2 linked regions of the Drosophila melanogaster genome follow. The protein of the gene in region 2 interacts with the protein of the main gene of each other region in a pairwise test. Each region holds a gene or a part of one and is shown on either strand. Other genes may lie near its edges.

Region 1 (3,408 bases), on a different chromosome or scaffold from region 2:
AGTTATTCGATTCCATTTGCTTATCTTTCTGAACAACGTTCTCAATGCAAAATCTGCGGCAAGCCCTCTAAATGCTGAACTGGTTTTCTGTTGTTTCCCCAAATCTTAAAATCACAATATGTTTTCGATAAATCGAATATTTTATTAGGATATGCTGTACTGAAGGTGTTGAACAAACACTTCGTTTCTTTCCATCAAGGTCTGCATTGCGCTCCTTGTAGGATTCAGATAAGTTTTCAGCCAGAATGACCATGAACACCATGTCCCACAACTGGACCATGGCCTACAACTGGACCATGGCCTACAACTGGACCGTGTCCAACAGGACCAGCGTGTCCCACAGGTCCGTGGCCAGCATTGACTGGGTGTCCTCCGTGTCCTACAGGAACATGGCGCAGATCACCGGGAGTTGCCTGGACGGTAGCCAGGGCAATGAGGAGGAAGGCACACAGAGCAAAGAACTTCATCGTTTCAAAATTTGATACACTTTGAGGTGCTGGAAGATCTTATATACCTAATATCGTAACCGTTTACAGTTATCTTTTTTTTTATAATTTTTCGTTATTTTTTGGGTCACAAAACACTAAATTATACGAAATGTATTTCAATATATAGGTTGCCCGTTAATTAGCGATTATGAACAGGTGCGATCATTGAATACCGGTCATTCTTGTTATTTCTGCATTTGTTTGTGCAAACAAGTTTAATTATATTATTTATGGCAACTGTGCTTTGTATAAAAAATATCCAAATTTTTAAAGCCTATATTTAGGCTTTTAAGTAAATGTAAAATAGGCTTGCTGCTGAATTTGATTTATTAATACTCGACGTCGAATTGCAGATGTAAAATAATCTGTGTGTTTGTGAGATTTCATGCAACTAATCGGATCCTCCGATTAATTGCAAAATGTCCAGGAATATGTTCATTACATCCATGTAAATATTTAGGGCAGCGAATATGTACTCCTCGGGACTAATGGAGTACCTATGCTTGCCTCCCATCATCAATTGTGTATCGTAAACTAAATAAACGGAGAAGAGCAGAGCGCTCAATGAGGCATATATGGTGGTGACCATATGTCCGCCCACGAAGATGGTCACAATTCCAAAGAAGAGCAGTATTATCAGGCAGCTCACCAGGAGGCCACCCATGACGGTAAAGTCGTAACGCGTCTGCAGAGCAAAAAGGGTGAGTCCAAGGCAAACTGACGCCGTGATTAGCACGGCCATGAAAATCTCCATTGGGGCATAACGACAGGCTGCCACGCCCAGCAGAAAGGACTCGGCTATCGTGAAGGCAGATAGGAAGATGAAGTTAGCTGGGGTCTGACGACGCAGATCCTCATTGCAGCCCAGAGCCACCAGAGAGAAGACCACTATTAGTATGGCCACCACAAATATCCAGGTGCTTTCTGCCACCATCAGACGCACCCGTTTATCAGCAGTAAGTGAAACTATAACCACCAGGGAAGTGATCAGTTGGGCCAACAGGATGAGGTACACCTTCCGGATGAATCCTCGCCGGATGCTGGCGCTGCAGAATCCCAAGCCCTTGTCTGGATCATCCTGTCCGATTTCCGATCCGTAAGCTGTATATCTTCCCAGCGGAATACACTCCGCCTGGTGGCTCCGATTTCCATACTGATGTACTGGTTCTTGTAAAATATCCAGCATTGTGTCCTTCGAACACAACTTTCAAGTAACTGCTAATTCTTAATTTAATAACCTTTGTCGGAAATTGAAGTATAGTATGACAGAAGAGTCAACGTTAAATGGAATTTACTTCTTAGAAACTATAAATCTTCTTTTCATAATTAGTAACTATCATAAACATAACTTTAACTTCATTTCTTTAGAATTCGAAAATTCACAATATTATAATATTATAATAATATATATCCAATACTGTCTTCCGTCTTATATACATTTGCAGTAATGCGTATTTATTAAATTCAAACAACAATTTTATGTAAAGATTTAAATATGTGACTAATTTGAGCAAAAACGGACTTACGGATAACTAAATGACTATATGGCTATATACACTCTGCTGTTAATACTTATTATTTATACATATTTTAAATGGTTGCAAATGTACCCCTTAGTGCGTTGCAAACTTCTGTCTGAAATCATTATACCCTCTGCAAGGGCATACAAATAAATACAACAAATTCTGCTGCTAAATAGAATATTTATTCCAATATTCAAGTAGCTTTCGTGAAATTATAAATTATCCAGCAGTTTTCTTAAGGTTCCCTTCAGAGATCGCACTGGTCTCAGGAGAACTATTGGCCTGGACGGCAGCCAGGATGAGGAGCAAAAAGGCGCACAGAGCGAAGATCTTCATTTTGGTAACTTTAATGAATACAGTCTAACAGTTGGCATGGCGCTTTTATACTACCGTTTGCAGTCGATTGAGACCAGTTTATAATTTCTATATAATTAGCATATTTAATCAAATTCTTATGCTCGTATTAATAGAATTTTAGCAATACTTTGAAAACAAGTTGGATTGCGTCATTAACAATCACAAAAAATGTGCTCCCTAATATAAAATAAAATTATTTATAATACTATTATACTAATTCCTATAATTCCAAACGGCTGCCATTGTAGCTTAAGAGAAATAAAACACGCTTATTACATTTTGACTTTTAATAAAAGAATACAATTATTTCCTTGATTTTGCTCTCATTTTTTGTATTATCTTTCGCGGCAGTTCTTTCCAAACATTTTTGGTATACCGGTAAGGATCGATGGCGTTCCTAGCGGTTCCAATCGGGAGTGGTGCCTGGGCCTTCTTGCCCCACACCTTCGGGTGTCGCCAGATTACGGGCTTTCCATGCTGGCCACCACCCCGGTATCCAAAGACTCCATCCTCGAAAACGGTCTCTATATTATCGCCGAAGGCTGTGCCCATATACCGATCTCCTGCTGCGCAATCGTAGGCCCTATAGAAGTGATTGTGGGCTACTGGATATGGAGGCGGTATAACTGGTGGCTCCTTCATTGCAGTCTGGGTGCTATGATTCACCACGTTCCTAAGGGCTTTGCGCTTCGGTCTACGAGTTCCCGCCGGCGGAGTCACATCCAGATCGAACTCCAAATCGCTCTCACTTGTGTCGGTAAGCACCAAGTGGTCGGGACATGGCTCTATAAAACGCTTCTGGCACTCTTTCTTGAGAGCCTTATTCAGGTGAAATTTATCCAAGGCATCGCGACAGGTGCACATCATCAGGGACTGGTGGCACTTGCACTTCTCGAAGCCCTGATCCTTGAGAGCACGCTTGATCTGGCGCAGTGCCACCGCCATATCGCTCTTGACGATCCGGAACGTTATGGGTTTCTGTTTCATACCCAAAGTGGGCAGTGGACGAAGGGTTACGAATATATTACCATTTCGCTTGC
Region 2 (4,480 bases):
TGCAGTGGTGGCCACCACTATTGCTCCGGACTGCGACAGGGGACAGCAGAGAGCAGAGCTGCGGCAGCAGAAGTCCCAGCGCCTGGTGGAAGCACCCAGTTCCGAGGTATCCGCCACCCAGGCTACTCCGTCCCAATCGAAGCCCCAGCCGGATGTGGACGTCTCGCTTAATGGAGCCGCTGGCCATCTGAAACCCAACGAGAGGGTCATCGCAGCAACAGCCGCGCCAACAGATGCCTCCGCCACCAGCGAGACCTTCCACAAGCGCCGCATCGTTGTCAATCATCCATTCCAGACGGTACGCGAAGTGGTCGAGCACGAGCCCTTCACCAACTACCATCAGATTCAGGTGAACGAGCCGGCTCCGCCCTCGCACTACCACCAGGCCTACTACCAACCGGCGCTGCAGACCCACGGGAGTTTGGTCCATTTCCAGACCTCGTCCGCCCATGGCAATCTATACGGATAAGGAATTAGGATTAGGGAAGGATCCGAAGTCGACCAACGAACGAACCCGGCCAATGCACTTCCTCTGCTAATCGTTATCTTAGTGTTAGGCTAGATGCTAAACTTATCATGTACGCAAATCCGGTGGAAGGGCCCTTTCCATGATGACATGACCCTGATCTTCTTTCGCATTAATTTGTTATAAACGCGTAGGCTTAAGTGCAGTTTTACTTGCCAACAATAAAGTGCATATATAATGCTAAAAATGATTTTCTCGTCTTGATTTGCCATGTATATATATATAATATATCACATATGTATATGGCTATACAATTGTTATATAAGTGTTTTGTTTTTGGTTAGGCTCAAGGCAATATATAGTTATATATGAGAAGCATAGAAGATAATAAAATTCGAAAATCCTTGAAATGCTTTGAGCTTTGCTTCTCTAGTTTCTTCAAATTTAAAAAACATTCTTCTTACGCTGATATCGAAGGTTCCTCTAATGAACGCTTTTGATTTTGTTACGCGCGTTTGGGCTTTTCAAGAGGCTCATCGTCACTGGAGTAGTCGGATGCGGGACTGTGAGCAACCTTTTTCCCCCTAGGAGGTTCTTCATCACTGGACTCGTCCAACAGGTGTGTTCCAGCACCGATCAATACATTGGCGATCTTTTCTGTTCGGGCGGAGATTGCAACAGGATCCTCTGTTGAAGTGGACAGCACGGCAGCCGTGATAAGCGTCGACGTGGAGGGCGCGTCCAGTTCAGGTTCTAAAATGCCAAAAATCAGAATATGGGCTTAACCAATGACGATCTTTCCTACCCTGCTCATTGAGCAAGCCATGATTGGCCTCCCGCCGCTTGGTCACTACAACTGCCGTAATATAGAAGGTGAAAATGGGCAGCAGGACAACTACGCCAACGGCGATGAGAAAATTGGTCAGCTTCACCTCGCGTTGACAGCATTTCAGCGTTTTCGACCAATTCAGACGAGTCCGGTTCATCTAAGCAAAAGTAAAGGTGTAAAAATAGGCAAATGTAAATATAAATTTTTAAACTTACATTGTCCTGCAGATCGAAGCACACACTTCCACCGACTTTCTTTTCCATGCTAAGGTAGAAATCATTTAGACTCACGTAATCATTTTTGCACTTGAAGCAAACTAAATCCGAACTAGCAGATTCTAAGCAATTTTGCAACTTTGTTGAGTTATCGCTGTATACAATCCAAAAATTATCCCTGAAGCAATCTGGAAAGTAGGAATAGATCAGTGATTCCCAAATGAACAAAGTACTGATGCACACTTTCGCAGTTGGCCTTTTGCCACAGGCTAGTTAGGATTCCTTGGGTGGTAGCCACTATATTGATCCTGTCCGAGTTCAGATAACGCTTGGAACAGTTGGCGTTCGCAATTAGGTTTCCGTAATCATTGGTGAGATTGCGGTAGAGATCGACGCAGCCCTCACACAAATTCACGGGCACTGATTTTGTGGTGGCGCAGTAGATGAACTTGCTCTGTGCATCGCCAAGATCGGCGAGCAATTTCTCGCAGGAATGTTTCTTCCCGGCCAGCAGCATGTTAAACTGTCCACTTAGAGTTAGGATAAGCCCCAAGAGTGCAATGTAACTCCGCATCTTTTGGTGTGCTTTGCTCTTCGCCTACTTGAACGAGATGAAGGAGGAAACCAGGAGGGCGAGAAGCCGGCGAATCCCCTGGTGCTTCTGTTTGTTGATACGGGTGCTCCCTTTTCGCACACCCAAGTTCTTCTATGAAATATATTCTTTCTGGAGAGGAGTGTCGGGTGAGTTGCTGTTGGCATTACTAACGAAACTCACATTCTTACCCTCTGCACACTAAACAATATCACAATTTAACAAATACTTTTATAAAATCATATATTTTTGTATTGTATTTCGGCTGGAGACATCATCCATCAATAGTTCTGCATGCATTCAGTTACCTGCACACCAAATTGTTGTCCAATTGCAATAGAAGCAATTATTTGGTGTAATTTATAAACAAAACAATAGCAATCATTTAGATGTCCAAAAATATCGGGCCTTTGACACTTCGACTTTTCTTAGTGAGGAATCGCTATGAAAGCGTGGAACATCTGGCAACGCTAAGAGGTTGGCGCGAATTTTCAAATTAACTTTTACAGTAATTGCCAGTTTTCTCACCGAAATTGTAATTGTAAAATCAATTGTCATTGATTTATTTTAATTCCCTAACCAAATTCCTCTTTTCCCCATTATGAAGATCAGCTGCTGTAAGTATCATATCAAAAATAGATCACGAAGTTTACTTTAAAATTGCACGTTTCATTTAGGCAACTGCTGATCAAACTCTGAGCATTGTTTATCATTTATTTGCGAAAAATCTGTAAACAACCCTTCACAATGAGTATATTTCAATGAAAGGAAGTTAAGTGTGTTACATAAATAGATGCAAAAAAAGCGGGGCAGTAGTAATGCTAAAATACATCGTTTTGGATATGAATGACCCAAAACAACCCCAACTTGGGGTTTTTCCATTATCAATCGAGTTCCGTATGATCAGTAAAATATATAAAAATTTTTATCCATAGATAAGAAAGGGTTGTCTATTTATTACTCCATGCACATGAATAGACTCTTCTTACATGTACATCTTTTTTTAGCATCCTTCGCACCAGCATTTTAGACTGGGGCTGCAGTGTCCACTGGTTCGCCCTTCCCTCTGGCAGATATCTACGCACTTCTTCCTGTGCCACACAGCACAGGAACCCCTATATCTTCCGGAAAGGCAGTCGGCATGTGATTCTTCCGCTCCCAGGAAAATTATCATCAAGACAGCGGACAGGACAATTAGGAACTTGATTTCCATAGTTTCGGTAGGAGGTCTGGTAACTTAGTAATTGTTGAAATGCAATCCTCAAGAAATTGATCGCTCTCAGCTCAGAATAAGCGCTTAAATACGTTCCGATCTGTAAGTTTTACACTCAGTACGACGACGCTGTGGTGAAATTTATCTCGTGGAGATAAAAATATTTACCCAGACTTTTCGGCTGCCTTTACAATTTCACCACGTGCCGAATATAACAATGCATTGATCTGAACAATAAATATTGGTTCTTGACTTGATTTTATTTTAAATAATTGTGAATGTTTAGGGAATTGAATTTTATGATTGATACATAATCATTCTGGGTCTATAGAAGTTGTCCAATTTCGGTAGAAATTCAGCATCCTTCGCACCAGCATTGCAGCCTGGCACTGCAGTGACCACTCACTCGTCCTCGTCCCTCCTCTCGGCAAACCCGCCTGCATGTCTCGTTGTCCCAGACGGCACAGGGACCTCTGTACCTTCCGGAAAGGCAGTCGGCATCGGCTTCCTTGGCGCCCAGGATGACCATCATCAGCAGAGCGAGGAAGGTGAACAGGAACTTGATTTGCATCATTTTCAGTAGTTTTCGTGGTGATTGTTTTCTTTGATGTACTAATCAATTCAGATTCGGATCGAATTTGTTTTCAAGTGCTTTCGACGAGCTTATATAGGGCTGGACTAGTCGATGTCGCTGCCAGCGTCGTTCGATTTTATTTATTGATACTACCTTTTGTCTGGATAAATATACAATACACACAATATAATTGTAAGAACGTCTCTCAATCTAGGTCCCATGAATGGTTCAAGGAAAAGCAAACAATAAATGGCGTAATGCACTTAATTATCACAACCAAAACAACAGGATAGTGATATTTGCTACTTTGTGCTTATTGCCTAAAGCACATATATTTTCGAATGCAATTCTATAAAGTTTAAATTCCAACGGAGAGCGCAAAATTCGATATAAGCATCGATAACTGCACCTAGAAGTGTGACCATGTTTCGCGAACCTCAAATACCATGACTTAATTTTCAAATTCCACTGAGAACCGGATCGGCTATTTTGAATAGCCAGTTTTTCTCTGATCGGCGATTTGACAAGACGTGCGCGCGGACTGAAAATTGGATCCCAAAACCGCTAACTGAAAAATAAATAAAGCCGTGC

The links.
Region 1: the proteins of CG14969 (region 2) and Recs1 interact in a two-hybrid assay, tested with the Drosophila melanogaster proteins (one large-scale study listed by BioGRID).

What each region holds. Positions count from the first base shown.
Region 1 is NT_033777.3:14,152,086-14,155,493, forward strand, and holds Recs1 (Recs1), read right to left. Parts: upstream 1,745-3,408; 5' UTR 1,675-1,744; coding exon 880-1,674; 3' UTR 800-879; downstream 1-799. Other genes in the region: CG42500 (uncharacterized protein), read right to left, coding at 237-467; CG44215 (uncharacterized protein), read right to left, coding at 2,231-2,347; CG31533 (uncharacterized protein), read right to left, coding at 2,672-3,408.
Region 2 is NT_037436.4:3,332,474-3,336,953, forward strand, and holds CG14969 (uncharacterized protein), read right to left. Parts: upstream 2,506-4,480; 5' UTR 2,294-2,505; intron 2,235-2,293; 5' UTR 2,085-2,234; coding exon 1,754-2,084; intron 1,699-1,753; coding exon 1,511-1,698; intron 1,453-1,510; coding exon 1,272-1,452; intron 1,220-1,271; coding exon 972-1,219; 3' UTR 646-971; downstream 1-645. Other genes in the region: CG14961 (uncharacterized protein), read left to right, coding at 1-469; Drsl1 (Drosomycin-like 1), read right to left, coding at 3,106-3,315; Drsl6 (Drosomycin-like 6), read right to left, coding at 3,671-3,889.